Linked DNA regions of Notamacropus eugenii. The protein of the gene in region 2 interacts with the protein of the main gene of each other region in a biochemical or structural test. Links are inferred from orthologs where the notes say so. Each region holds a gene or a part of one and is shown on either strand. Other genes may lie near its edges.

What was found.
Region 1: the proteins of GRB2 (region 2) and NCKIPSD form a complex in vitro, tested with the Homo sapiens proteins (2 studies listed by BioGRID). The link is inferred for Notamacropus eugenii from reciprocal best matches to the Homo sapiens genes GRB2 and NCKIPSD.

Annotation. Positions count from the first base shown.
Region 1 is NC_092872.1:7,812,318-7,819,825, forward strand, and holds the start of NCKIPSD (NCK-interacting protein with SH3 domain), read left to right. Parts: upstream 1-4,498; 5' UTR 4,499-4,600; coding exon 4,601-4,771; intron 4,772-7,508. UniProt on the Homo sapiens protein: Has an important role in stress fiber formation induced by active diaphanous protein homolog 1 (DRF1). Induces microspike formation, in vivo. In vitro, stimulates N-WASP-induced ARP2/3 complex activation in the absence of CDC42.
Region 2 is NC_092873.1:341,472,174-341,479,337, reverse strand, and holds the start of GRB2 (growth factor receptor-bound protein 2), read left to right. Parts: upstream 1-4,148; 5' UTR 4,149-4,461; intron 4,462-7,164. UniProt on the Homo sapiens protein: Non-enzymatic adapter protein that plays a pivotal role in precisely regulated signaling cascades from cell surface receptors to cellular responses, including signaling transduction and gene expression.

The DNA.
Region 1 (7,508 bases), on a different chromosome or scaffold from region 2:
TTAAAGCAATTTTCAGATTCAACTTCACACCCATCAGATTAGCAAAGCTGACAAAGCATCAAATTAGATAATTTCTGTAAAAAAAAGCCTTTAGCACAGAGCCTGGGACTTACTAGGCACTTAACATAAGCTTGCTTTCTTCGCTCTCTTTAGCCAATGACTGAGAGATAACACTACTAGGCTTATACCTTAAAGAGATTAAAGAAAGAGGAAAAAGACCTATATTTACAAAAATATTTATAGCAACTCGTTTTTGTAGTAGGAAAGTACCAAAAACTAAGGAGGTGCCCATCAGTTGGAGAACAGATAAATAAATATGTTTATATATAATACATATATGTTTATAATAGAATACTATATAAGAATAGAAGAAACATATTTCAGAGAAACATGGGAAGACTTGTATGGACTCATCCAAAGTGAAATGTTTAGAAAGAACAATTTATGCTATGACGTCAATATTGCAAAATAGAAATATTTTGAGAGATTTAAGCATTCTGATCAATACAATGATCAACTATGTTTTCACAGGACCAATGATGAATAATGCTACAAGTCTTATGACAGAGAGTTGAAAGACTAATGAACTAATATGCAGAATGAGAGACATCTTTAAATATAGCTAATATGGGAATTTGCTTTGCTTGAGTATGTTGGGGATTTTGGGTTTATTTGTTTGTTTGATCAGGGGGAGGAGAGGTTAGAAGAAAAGAATAGATGCTTTATAATTGAGAAAATAAAATTTAATTTATAAAGAAATATTTGCCCCATACCTGATTCAAATTGTGCTATGAATCCTTTTTTTTTTGTCTTTCATGTTTATTATTTATTTTTAACATTTACAAAAATATTTGTCTTCTGAATTCTCTCTCTCCCTCCCACTAGAAGGCAAGAAATGTGATATCAATTATACATGTGAAATCATGCAAAAAATATTTCTATATTAGCCATGTTGCAAAAAAGCAAGAAAAACAGTGAAAAAATTATGCTTCAACGTACACTCAGACTTCATCAGTTCTTTCTCTGGATAGCATTTTTCATCATGGGCCCTTTGGAATTGTCTTGGATCACTGTATTGATAAGAGTATCTAAGCCAGTCACAGTTGATCATAGTACAATATTGTTGTTACTGTGTACAGTGTTTTCTTGGTTCTCCTCGCTCCACTTTGTGTCTTCTCAAGTTTTTCTTTTTTTTTTTTTATTTTTATTTTGTAATGTTTAACAATCACTGCCATACAATTGTGATTTTATCCCCCCACCTACCCCCAACTCCCCCCCTCCCTCCCCACGACTGCATACAATTCTGTATAGATTCTACATATACTTTCCTATTGAGTATATTTTCACTATAGTCATGCTATGTAGTCAGACTAAGATAAATGAAAGAAATCGTATAACAAATCAGAACATGATACACAAACACATACACATACACAAACATGATCTGCTACAATATGTGAGTGACTTCCATATTTCTCTCTCTGAGTGTGGCAGGCATTTTGCCTTGAGATCCTCTATTGGGATTTTTTTTTTTTTTTGGTAAGAAGTTCTTGTGTTATTACAAAAATCTAAGTCTACCAGAAAAAACTCTCACACACTGTGGTTGTTGCTGTGCATAAAGTTCTCCTGGTTCTGCTCCTTTCACTCAGCATCAGGTCATATAAGTCCTTCCAGGCCTCTCTGAAGTCTTCTTGTTCATCATTTCTTATGGCACAATAGTACTCCATTACATTCATATACCATAATTTATTCAGCCATTCCCCAATTGATGGACATCCCCTTGACTTCCATATGAATCCTTTTAAAATAAATTCCCCACTCCAACCCCCTAGGGAGATCTAGACATGAGACAAAACCTAAGCTTTAAATAATTTGGTCCCGTAGCATCAGAGTGGAGGTTTAACAAACCAGAGAGGGTGATAAAAGGAAGTTTTGCTCTCATATCATTAGATGCCATGGTTCTCCAGGACTGAACATAGTCTGACTGTGTGCACAGATCCAGAGCAGAGGAGTCCTTTAGAAAAATGAGTACTTCCCCAGCTCCTTGGTCCTAACAGCAATTGTTTGATTTTAGGTAGGATAAATGGAGGCACAGAGAAGTTAACAGTTTCCCGGTGGTCCTAGTTCTGTATGGTTCCCCTAGGTATAGAAATGTTCCTACTGATAATAATAATAAAAAATAGCTAACATTTATATAATGCTTACTCTGTAGCAGGCACTATGTAACTAAGCACTTTACAGTGATCTCATTGGATCCTCACAATAAGGTAGGGGCAGCTATTCCCCATTTTACAGACAAGGACACTGAGGCAAACAGAAGATAAATGGCTTGTCTAGAGTCCCATAGCTAGTAAGTATCTGAGGCTGTATTTGAACTCATCTTCCTGACTCTGGTCCAGCACTCTATCCACTGCCTCACCTACAGCTCCTTAGGATGCAATCGTCAGAACCATAACTTTGCTCCACTCAGGTCTGGACTCCTGTTAGAGAAACCTGCCCTTTCAGAGTGTGTGTGGCAAAAGAAAACAGGGATGCTAGGTGGGAGAACTTGTAAAGGGGATTTGGCTGGAGCTCAGTCAGTGTTTGCCCCACAGTTTTCTACACTGGGCTCAATTACTAGGGCATGTTCCCAGGGTGATACATGCAGAAGGTACAACTCTCAATCTATATCTAATTTCACTGTACTGCCCCTTCTCTCTACCCTGATATTTCTGTTAAAGGCACCACTATCTGCTCAGTCACAACCTCAGTCATCCTTAATTCTTTCCTATCCCTCGCTGGATCCATCCAAACATTGGCTAAGTCTTATCAGTTCAATTTCCACATCCCTCACATCCATTTCCTTCACTCTACTCACTTAACTCCACCACCTTAGCACAAATTTGCATCACTTCTTACCTGCAATATTGTCATCACCTCCTAACCAATCTTCCTGTTTCAAGGCTGTCCTTTATCCAGTTTGTCATTTACAGAATTTCTAAAATGATCTCCCCAAGGTAAGAGTCTGAATATGACACTTCCCTGGGGATCTCGATTCTAATATGAATTCCTTAGACTCTCTTTCAAGGCCCTCTATAATCTGGTTCCAGTCTACATTTCTAGTCTTGTTTCCACATTATTTCCCTTCATGCACTATATATCCTAGTCCAACTAGACTACCAACAATTCAGTCCTTCATGTCCTGCCTCATATATTTGCACAAGTTATCCACCATGCTTGGAAACCACTGCCTCCTCATCTCCTCAATTGAACAAGCATTTATTGTGTACACTATATGAAAGACACTGTACTAAGTACCCCAAAATAATCTCTGCCCTGAGGAACCTTATATTCTGGTGGAAGTATAACATTTTGAGATGAATTAAAGAAAAGTCCACATGTAATATTTGAGCCTTGGAGAAAGCTAGGGATTACAAGGGATAGATGTGAGGAAGAACGTTCCAGGCATGCAGGGCAAAGGAGATAGATGTATTCAGAAATACATCCAATAGTTTCTGGAAAGAAAGTTGGTAAAGGGTTTAAAGTGTATTCTTTCTTAGAGGCAATAATGAACCGCTGGAGCTTCTCAAATGAGGGGATGACATAGACCTATGTTTTAAGGGTACCAATGTGCTTTTTGAATCGCCTCTAAAAATCTTTTCAGGGTTCAGTTTTGGTGCCAGTAAAACCTTGTGTGAATGAATTGGATTTCACCTTGGTCTTGGAATCAAGAAGACATGAGTTAGAACCCTGCCTCAGCCACTTCCTAGCTGTGTTGTTCAGTTGTGTCCAACTCTTTGTGACCTTGTGAACCGTAAGCGCACACTCTCCATGGGATTTTCTGCAGCAGCTTGTCATTTCCTTCTCCAGCTCATTTGACAGATGAGGAATTGAGGCAAACAGGGTTAAGTGACCTGCCCAGGGTCACACAGCTAGAAAGTTACTGAGGTTACATCGGAACTTGGATGTTCCGGACTCCAGGCCTGGCATTCTGCCCACTGTGCCATCCATCAACGTATGACAGCAACAGGGAAGATTTCAATTCATGAACTCTCTGCACCGTGCCACCTGGCTGCGTGCCCTTGTGTTAATCTTTAGGTACCAGGGGTAACTGCCTAGGAGTCAATCCACTAGGACGTAGACTGGTTGCAAGAAATGCTGACATTTTATTTGGCTAATCGGTCTTATCCATGCCTTAGCTCAGGTGACGCGTCAGGGCTGTTCCCTGTGCTCGTGGGGGGCAGGGTGCCCTGTACCTGGCGGCAGCTTTCAGGGAGCCACGCGCGGAGGGGTGACGATAACTCAGTGTGGCACCTCCCCGGGGTCTGCCCCGGGGCACCGCGGCCCGGGGCTGCGCCGAAGCCCCCCGCCCAGGCACAGACGCGAGCCCCGGGGGTGGGGTGGGGTGGGGGGGTGGGGGGGTCAGGCTGTCGCGCGTGGGCCGGGCGCGCCCCGGGGGCCGGGCTCCGCCACGAGGGCGGGGCTCCGCGGGGGGGAGCGGGTCGGGAGCGCGCACGCGGTGGTGTCACGGGGCGGAGCCGGCGCGGCAGCCCCTGGACCCCGGCGTCCCCGGCTCCCGGCTCCCGGCCCCTCCAGCCCGCGGCGGCGGCGCCTAGGCCTCATGTACCGCTCGGTGTACGCCTTCCGCTCGTCGGAGCCCAACTCGCTGCCCTTCGGCGAGGGGGAGACCTTCCTGATCCTGGAGCACAGCAGCCCGCACTGGTGGCTGGCGACCCGGGCCCGCAGCGGGGAGACCGGCTACGTGCCCCCGGCCTACCTGCGGCGCCTGCAGGTCAGCGCTGCCCGCGGCCCCCCCCCGGGCCATCCCCCCTGCCCGGGGCCATCCCGCCCCCCCGGGGCCATCCCCACCCCGGGCCTGGATCGCTCGGCCCTGGGAGAGCCCCGCCCCCTAAGGAACCCCAAGATCGCGGCCACTGGGGAGCCTTCGGAGGGGCCCCGGGCCCAGACCTTGGCGGGAGGGGTCCGAGGAAGCTCTGGCCCGGGGCGTGCCTGGGAGGGGTAGGCTTGGCTTCCGATCCCCTCCCTCTGCCTGCTCGTCTGCCCCTGACCAGGGATGGCTGGCTTCTCGGGATTGTGGGGAGGGGGGTGGGATGGAGGGAGGACTGGCCTCGCCCCTTGTTCCCGCTAGTTCTTTCCCCACTCCCATGTTATCCCCCACATCTTAGGAAGGTGATGGTGGAAACCCCCTCACCCCCTTCTTGTGAGACTTCAGTCCCGATGGGAAAGGGAGGTTGACTCTGCCTTAGGGCCAGGAGAGGGGTGCTGGTGTTTGAGAAGGTTTGTGAGTTGGACTGGGAGTGCCCCTTGTCTATAGTGAGCATCGTTTTGTTCCCAAACCAGCTCTCAGGACAGAAATAACCCTTTAAATTTGGAGAAATAGCAGCTGCGGCTGGCTGGGCACTTCAGCCTCCAGTCTGAGGAACGGACCTTTTTCCACTGGGAAAAGTCAGATTTGTCTGTGAGATCCATTCCTGTTCTTGGAGAGCCCAGGTCTGAGGATGAGGATGATTCTTGCCTTTGGAAAGCCTAGGCCTTGATTCTTTAAGACAGAAACCTAAATGTGTGTGGTGGAAAGAAGTAGATGAATGGGTGTGCCAGTGATCAGGGTAGGCTTCCTGGAAGAATTCCTGTGTTTGGTATTGTGGAGGCAGGGACAGAAGTTTGACAATTCTATCTGACCTATTCATTTGGGGTTTCTCATGGACAATTGTTGGGGTCACCTCTGGTTCAGACTTCTGCCCCCTCATGTAGCTCTATGAGGTGTGAGGGGAGGAGGAATCTTTTACAATGGCCTCCTGTATAAGGCCTCTTCAGAGAAGTATACCTTTGGGTATATCATATAACATTTCTGGGCCTTGGTTTCCCCATTTTGTAATATGAAGGACTAGATGATTTCTAAGGTCCTTCCAGCTGTAACAGCTTATATATTCCCATGGCTGTCAGTGGCTACATACAAAGTCCCTGTCATGACTGACAGTATTTGTGAGATCCTGCTTGTATCTGTGTGTGCACGTGTGGCTTTGCATAGCTGCAACAGTGTCCCTGAACAGCTCTGTCAAAGGAATGTCATACAGCAGCCCCTCCCTGGGTAGGGATTTAGAGCTCTCCTGTTTGTCTGTCTGGGTCTTGGTCCGTGGGTCCATTTGGCGCCTTCTGGGGAAAACTGGAGTAGGTGGGGGAAGGGAAGGATATTCTTAGGGAGCTCAGGAAACAGGCAGACACCCAGCCCACTGGTGATGAGGTCAAAACTGAGCTGAGGAAAGGAGGGTTGAAGTTGGACAAGAAAGTCTAGATGATAAGACCCTAGCACTTGGATCTCCTTCTTAGGTGTCTCCTCCAGTGCCAGGGCAGAGGCCTGAGATACCTAGTCACTTCCTTTTCTCTCTTCTCCTCTTCCTTCTTCTCTATCTCTCAATGTCTCTGATTTAGGTCTTGCCAGCCATTAACTGAAGACAAAATTGTGAGACTTGCCTTGGGGGGAAGGGAGTGGGTAGAGGAAGAAGGGGAAACCAGGACAACTTTTTATTACCCTTGCTTTTGGGGTGTGTAGAGTGAACCAGGTTGGATCAGCCTTGGGGAGAAGGTTATTAGACGCTGTGGGATTAAGGGGGGTATATAAGAACCTCAAAAGGCTTGCGGTGCCAAGTGGTGCAGTGACTTCCCATGGTGTCTGAGGGATGATAGGAAGTGGCACTACTGAGGAGACCTCTTTTCTACAGGGCTGGTCTTTATTCCTTTTGGCAGTATCTCTTGGGGATCCTGGGGAGCCTTTCCGAAGGGCTTCAGCCTGTTCATTGCTCTGGGTGGGGCAGCTAACAGGATTTCCAGATGTTTCTTTCTGACTTTGGTTGAGGCATTCTGTACTCCTGCAGGTCTGACGTGAGCTGTCGCATTCATGACTCTGATCTGTGACATTTTAATAATCATGGTGATGATAAAATGCTCTATAAATGTAATTTAATGTTAACAAAGCATTTTCTTCTCAACAGTCCTAGACTAAGGGATGCACCTAGCAATGTTAGCATTCCAGGCTCTGCACTGTGAACCTGCTCAGTCCTTGTTCTGAAAGACAGGCAAGACTCAGCACCCTCTGCTGTCCCTGGCTCTCCCATCCTGGTCTTGCCCCTCCTGTGCCAACCTTGGCTCCCTGGATTCTTCCAGGACATCTTCCCATTCTAAGCTGGGTCACCTACTGAACTTCCTATCCCCAACCTTATTCAGTACCTGTGGGACCAGAGTGGTTCTCCCCTCAGAGTATGGCCAGGATAGGACTGTACTAACCTTTATAAGGCAGCTTCCTTAGGAGGCAGTGTGATGTGATAGAGAGAGCCCAAGACATGGGCGTCAGGAGAAATGAAGCTCTGCTACTTACTAATGGAGTGACTCTACCAAATTCCTTCCCCTCTCTGGGCCTCAGTTTTTCATCTGTAGAATGGTGAAGATGGCGTTTGGGCTAGATGGCCTATAAGGTCCCTTCCCTTTGAAATCTTGCGCTCCCATGAGGATGT
Region 2 (7,164 bases):
AGAAAAACAAACTCCCTGTTAAAAAACATATATGCATAGTCAAGCAAAACAAATTCCCCAAAATGGCCTTGGCCACCTCCTCCCCAAATACCTCAGTCTATACTATGATTCTATTGTCTTCTCTCAGGAGGTAGGTAACTTGCTTTATTATGAGTCCTCTGGAATCATGGGTGGTCATTGCATTGATCAGAATTCCCAAGTTTTTCAAAGTTGTCTTAGCAATATTATTGTTATTGTATAAATTATTCTTTGGTTCTGCTCACTCAATGCTGCATCAGTTCATACAACTCTTCCCAGATTTCTCTGAACTGTTCCTTTCATTTCTTATAACATGACAGTAGTCTATCACATTCACATAGCATAATTTGTTCAACTATTCTCCAATTGATAGGCAGCCCCTCAATTTCCAGTTCTTGGCCACCATAAAAAGAGTTACTATAAACATTTTTACTGCCTGCTTCTTTCAACTAGTGCTTATATACTATGGACTCACTGCCTTTCACCATTCTGGTTGCCCTTCTCAGGATACTCTCAAGCTCATATTGAGCTTGCAGTCCACTAGAACCCTCAGATCTTTTTTTTAACTGCCATCTAACAATACTTCCTTAATCTTATACTTCTGAGGTTGATTTTTTTGTACCCAAGTATAACACTACATTCATCTCTATTGAATTTTATCTTTTTAGATCCAACTCAATGTTCTAGGTATCAAGATCCTATTGTATTCTGACTCCATCATCCACCGTTAGCTATCCCTCTTAGCTTTGTATCATCTGAAAATTTGATGAGCATGTCATCTATACCTTTATCCAAGTCACTGACAGAAATGTTAAACAACACACAGCCAAGGACAGATCCTTAGGGTACTGCATTGTAGATCTACCATGTTGACAATAAATCATTAACAGTTACTCTTTGACTCTGTCCATCTGACTAGTTCTGAAGCCATCTGATTTTGTTATCATCTAACTCATATCTCAATCTTTTCCACAAGAATAATATATCTTTTTTTTAATCAAAAACTTCACTAAAACTTTGGTAAGCTATATCTACAACAGCGCTCTCATCTACCAGTTTATTAACGCTGTCAAAATTTTAAATGTGATTAGTACAGCATGACCTGTTCTTGATGAAGCCATGTTGACTCTTTGTAATCACTGCTTTCTTAGCTATTGACCTACCATCTCTTTAATGATCTGTTCTACAATTTTCTAAGGAAATTTTCAGATTCAGTCTCTCTCCTGAGTGATATTTCCACATCAATTACCTGTTGGGCATTCCAAAATGGATAACTCACAGATACTCAAACTCCTCTATCCAAATGATTTACCAGTTACATACTCCCCTGATTACAATTACCCAGATTCAGTCTGGTCTCATGGTTCAGGTTTGAAATAGAATGAAATAAGCCAACTGTATACCATCTAACTTTTTTTTTTTTTTTACCACCTAACATTTAACAAAAAGGAAATTCAATGAACAGTAGCATGGAAAGAATATTCAGAAAGTATGCAAAACACTGGTTCAGCTAGATTTAGCCCTACCTTGTCTCTATTAAAAAGGTTTCTGCTCAGAAGAATGTGTTGACTCTCCTGGCAAAGGGAAATCTTTAAAGCAACCTGCATGTGTTAACCAGTTCTTTCAACCAATCCTCATGTTATGGACTCAAACAACTTCATGGGCACCAATTTCTCAGAGGCATCACTCTCTTACTCAATAAATTTCACCAACTCTCCATTATGTCTAGGGTCAAATATAACTTCTCAGTTTGACATTTAAAGCTGTTTATAACCTAACTCCAACCTCTTTTTCTAGTCTTAATATACATTAATTCATGAACCATACCTTTTGATGCATCTAAACTGGCCTTCTTACTGTTCAGCAGTTGGAGAATGAATTCAGGAGAGTTCAAGGCATAGCTGAGAGAATACACACACACACACACACACACACACACACACACACACACACACACATACTTCAGGTAGTCACAGAGAGACTGCTTTCAGGAAGCTTTATGGAGTGGGACCTCTAGTAGCCCATCTGCCCATATCCAACAGAAACACAGTACCCAGGGAGGACCTTCCAGAAGATTCTACAAGCAGAGGAAGGACATTAAAGCTCCTAAGAGCCAAAGGCAAGAGTTACTTTGGCCACATATTTTCTTTGTACATAGCCTCGCTTGTTGTTTTTTGTCCATTTTTAAAGAGGAGCCAATGACATCACAGGTAGTCTTGACTTGCACATGAATTGAATTGAAGTGAGACAGAGTTGCACAAAGTTATCAGTCTGACTCCTTCTTCCAGTGTCATAGAAATCCGGTGGCAAGATAAAACTCAAGGTGACTACCGATGGCCTGAGATGCAGGGAGTGACCTTGGCTTCTTTGCTGTCTGACTAAGCTCTAAGCACTTCACCTGTTTTGGCCACCTTTGTGGTAGTTGGAATGAATTGTTTTCATCTACCCATTCCATGGGGATGGGAGGAAGCTTTCACAGGCTTTGGTTAGCTATCCCCCTAGCTTACCAACTGATTTGAGGTTCGTTGGTTACTCTCAACCTCATTTAGCCTATCTGCAAGATAGTCTTCCTGGGATGTCAATGCTGTACATGCTACAGATTTTTTGAGACACAGGTGAGAATTCGATGACATGTGGATACTAAAGGTTCATGAGCAGCCTTGAAAAGGACTGAGCAAGCCCTCACATACTCCATACTCCCCCCATACCATATATAGGCTCACTCATCCCATTAACACTGAGTATATGTTCGGGAGGGTACACCCCAGCTTTACTGAAGAAAATGTTTTATAGATAATGTACATAATCCGGCTCCTTCCTGCCTTTCCAGTGTTTTACCCTTTACTTCTTTCTACAATCTAGTAACATTGAACTCTTTGCTCTTCCTCACATAAGACACTATATTTCTGACTAGATATTTTCACTGTTCCATGCCTAGAATTTTCTCTATTCTTACTCTGGCCTCCCGGCTTTCTTAAACTCAGCCTAAAATCCCATGTTCTGTAAGAAGCCTTTTCTGGTCCCCTTTAATGCTAATGCCTTCCCTCTATGATTTCCTCCAATCTATCCAGTATATATCTTGTTTGTAGATAGTCATTTGCATGCGGTCTCCCCCATTAGATTGTGAACTTCCAGGCAGGAACTGTTTTGGGATCTTAATTTTTCTTTGTAAGCCTAGATCTTGGCTCAGTACCTGGAACATAGTAGCTACTTAATAAATTAATGCTTATTGACTGGACTATGGTATCTTAGGCATTTAAACCTTTGCTAAGGGCTAATTATGTCAGTTAACTAATTGTTAATGGTAAGCACACCAGTGGAGGTTCTAGAATTGTAGTTGTAGGAGTAGGTACCCACAGTCTGTACTCTATAACTTGAGAGTACCAGCTATCCTTTGGGGACCCCAATCTCAAGTATGAATGCAAATTGGGGGATACTCCAGAGAGGATGTTACATAAATAATATTGTAAACCCAATTATTTACAAATTGTCTAAAAAGTTGTATACTTTAACAATATAATAACAAAAACGTCCTTTTTTGTTTCTATTTCTCCTTCTGAATCATTTTTTTCTCTTTAGTAATTTTTAGGCGTTTGCTTTTAGGCGTTTTGACTCTTTTTCCTTCACTCACTTTGTATCTGCCAATATTTTAAAAAATGTATAATTCCATGATGTTCCTGTACCACGATTTATTCAGTCATTCCCACATCTTTAGACATGTGTTATTTCCAGGTTCTCTTTTTTCCGATGAAGGATGATACTGGTATGCCCTTTTTTGGTACAGAGAAGCCTTTTTCCCCTATCTTATCTCTTACCATCCTTAGGGTATTCTCATAGTGGGCGATGTGTTTCTCTTTTCATCTTTTACAATTTCTAGTTGGGGCGATGTCAGGAAAAGGGGAAGGGGAAACGATCAAGGGTAGGAAAGAGTTACAAACCACCTCGAGAAGGCGAGAGGGAAGTCTGGAGGGCAGGAGGTGGCGTCTTTGCTCTGGTTCTGAAAACAGTTACAGCTTCCTTTAGGAGGTGGGGGAAGGGTGGATGCCTGACGGCCTGCCCCATGACACCTGCTCGGAGGCGGGCCGGGGGCCAGCGCCCGCGTGTGCGCCTGCGCAAAGGGAGACTCCGAGAAGGTTTCCCCCACCTGCTGGGCAGGGCCGGGGAATGAACGCTTGCGCTCTGGGGCCCCTTTTACTGGGTGGCGGGGGGAGGGGGAGAAGGAGAGGAAGAGGGAAGTCTCCCGGGGGGGCGGGGCCTGGCCGGGCCGACGGAGGAGAGGAAGTTCTCGCGGGAGTACAGCGGAGGAGCGGAAGCGAGGCGGCTCTGGTGCTGCGGCTACCGGGCGGCGGCGGGCGCTGCTCTGCGGGGAGCGCCGGGATCTCGGCGGCCGCTCGCTGCGGGTGGACGGGCCGGCGGGGCGGAGAGCGGGAGCTCAGCGCCACTGTGAGTGCGGGGCGGCGGGCGGGGAAGCTAGGGCAGGGCCCGACTCTTTCCCCACCCCCCCACTCCTTTTTCTTCCCTTTCCTCGGGGAGGCGGCCCTGAGGGGGAGGCCGGGTCCTGAGCTTCGGGGCCGCCTCGGGCTGTGGGGCTGTGGCACCTCTGCTGGGGGTGAAGGAAGAGCCGGTGCCTCCGTCCCTTCACCCCACCCACCCGATCCGGGAGGCAGCAGTCCCTACCTGCACTGACACCTCCCTTCGAGACGCCCCCTCCACGGGGGGGCTCTGTTCCGAGTGACCCACTCTTTGAGAACCATCCCCCCAGTCTAGTCCTTAGGGACCTCCCCTCCTCCAGCGCCCTCTCTCTCCCATGCTGGGACCCCCAGAGAAGAGGCTGTGCAGCTCCCCTGCTGGGGGATTCTTGATTTCATTTTGTGTCTGTCTTTGGCTTGAGCGTTTGGAGACCCAGGCCGGGGAGAAGCAGAAATCGTTTACTGTATTCTGGTAACTACTAAGGCAAATGACTAATAATTCTCTGTGTCAGACTTAATGCAGGAAGCAGGGGATTCAGAAGAGACTGCCAGGGCGGTGGGGATGTCCCTTCTCTGACATGCTCGGCACTCACCTCTGTGTCAGCTGCTGTCTGTCTGGTGTCAGGAAAGATTTTGATTTTTTATTTTTCCTCAACTTCGGAGAACTCACCACAAAGCCTGCATTTTTCTAGGAAGAGAGGATAAGGGAACCATTTGAAGTGCATTTGTTTCTGTTATTTTTTTAAACTAGCATCACGGTGGGGGGGAAGTATTTGGTGTGATTGAAGCAAGGAAGTGGGACGTGTAGGGAGAATAAAATCAATTACTAGAAATTTTCTTTGGAAAGCTTTTAATGTAAAACTGATTTAAACCATGTCCTGTTTAGAAAATAATTCTGGACATCTTCATCTATGGTAGTAATTTGAAATTCAGTTTGAAGAAGAGATTATGGAGTATGCATTAGAGCTTGGTTTCAGGTATTACTTAGTTTTAAATTGAAAAGAATTGACCAGGCATGTTAGAAAAGGAATTTCTAGGTTTTGTTATTTCAATTTTTATGAGTACCGCCTTTCCAAACAAACCCTTTACAGGCTGATTCCTCCCTACCTACACCTGTATCATGTAAATAATTTTGGTTATCCTCTCATCTTTAACTCATTTCTATTCAGTGCCCAATGGATATCTGTATTTCATCATTAACAGATTTCTTTTTGTTTATGTGCATCATCAATTTTCTGCTTGCTTGAGTTTTTTTTCTTTAGAAAATGGTCAAATTTTAACTTTGTTGTTCCTGTTCTTTCACCTATATTCAGTGTAGCAGTAACTGTCTTTCAGTTTGAGAAGGACCAAGCCAGATGCTATATACATTCCACTATATTTTTTCATTCAACCAGAAGGGTTGCCAGAGATGCATGTGAGACTCGGGCTCCCCTCTGGGGATTTAGTGGACTCAAAGGATTGAATTCATCCCTAAGTAATTGACACTGCCGTAGGTCATAAGTGTAGTTCTCTCATGTCATTTGTATTGATTTTCTTCTAATCTCTTTCACTGTAGCTTGGGCCTTTGTGTTTGCTGTACCCTGTAGGGGCCTTTCTCTATGCCTGTGTCAGACACCATTATATTAAGGATTATATTATTCTAGGGTTTCTGAGAGTGATATGGATTTAGACAGATTCAGCTGTGAATTTTTAAAAATGAAGGCTTGAGTTGAGGTTCTTCTGGGTCCACTTCAGTTGTAAAATCACTTATTAGAACTTATTGAAAACCTTAGTAGAAAATAACTTCCTTAGCCCAATGGTGAATCAATTAAAGTGTACCCCTTGGTAGTTATATTCGTTTATTTACTGTGATTAGGTCCTCTCTCTTCATATTATCATTATTTTCTTTGTCTTGTTCTTGAGAATCCTCTAGTCAGTCCTAGACAAGAAAAGAAATCCTGGAGAAACATTAGCTTTCTCTTTTGGAGCCGTAGTGTTCAAATCTTAAGATCTTTTGATTTGTGTACCAGATACCAGGACAAAGCATTTGTGGTTTCTGATCAAGGTCTAAAAATTGTGTCTTATGATCCATCTGAGGCTTTAAGATTTCATTGTAATACATGTATTTTTACTTAGTAATTGTAATTGTATTTAAATTAATTTCATGATACAAAGTATTATAATTTTTTCATTTGCTTCCTCTGTCTTCATCAGGATTCTTTGTCCATCATTCTCATTCACTTGTATGGTTGTGGTTGGTGTGTACTCCATTTTTCTGTTAACTTATGTATCTTGACCTACTACAAAATGCCTACCTTCCTAGGAGACAGGTTCTGCTATTAAAAATGCATGTATTTCACCTCCTTCATTTCATGAAAGAGGTTGAGGTGATAGTGGTTATGGGTATGGAATATTGCATATACTGTCAGGTGGATGAATTTTTGTTTAATTTTTTTCTTTAGATATGTTTTAAAACAAGGCATGCAGGGTAGGAAAAGAGTAGAAAAATACATTTGGAAATGAATGTGATATAAAAGCAAAAGGCATCAATAAAAAGGGATTTGTTAAAAATAATGTTAAAGCTGCCATTGCAACCTCTTTCTTCCCCTTACACCTTGGGGTCACCACTAGCCTTATAGCCAATCCCAGTTCTGGTTAGGACTATTTACATATCATTTTCATTGTTTCTTTTCTCTTG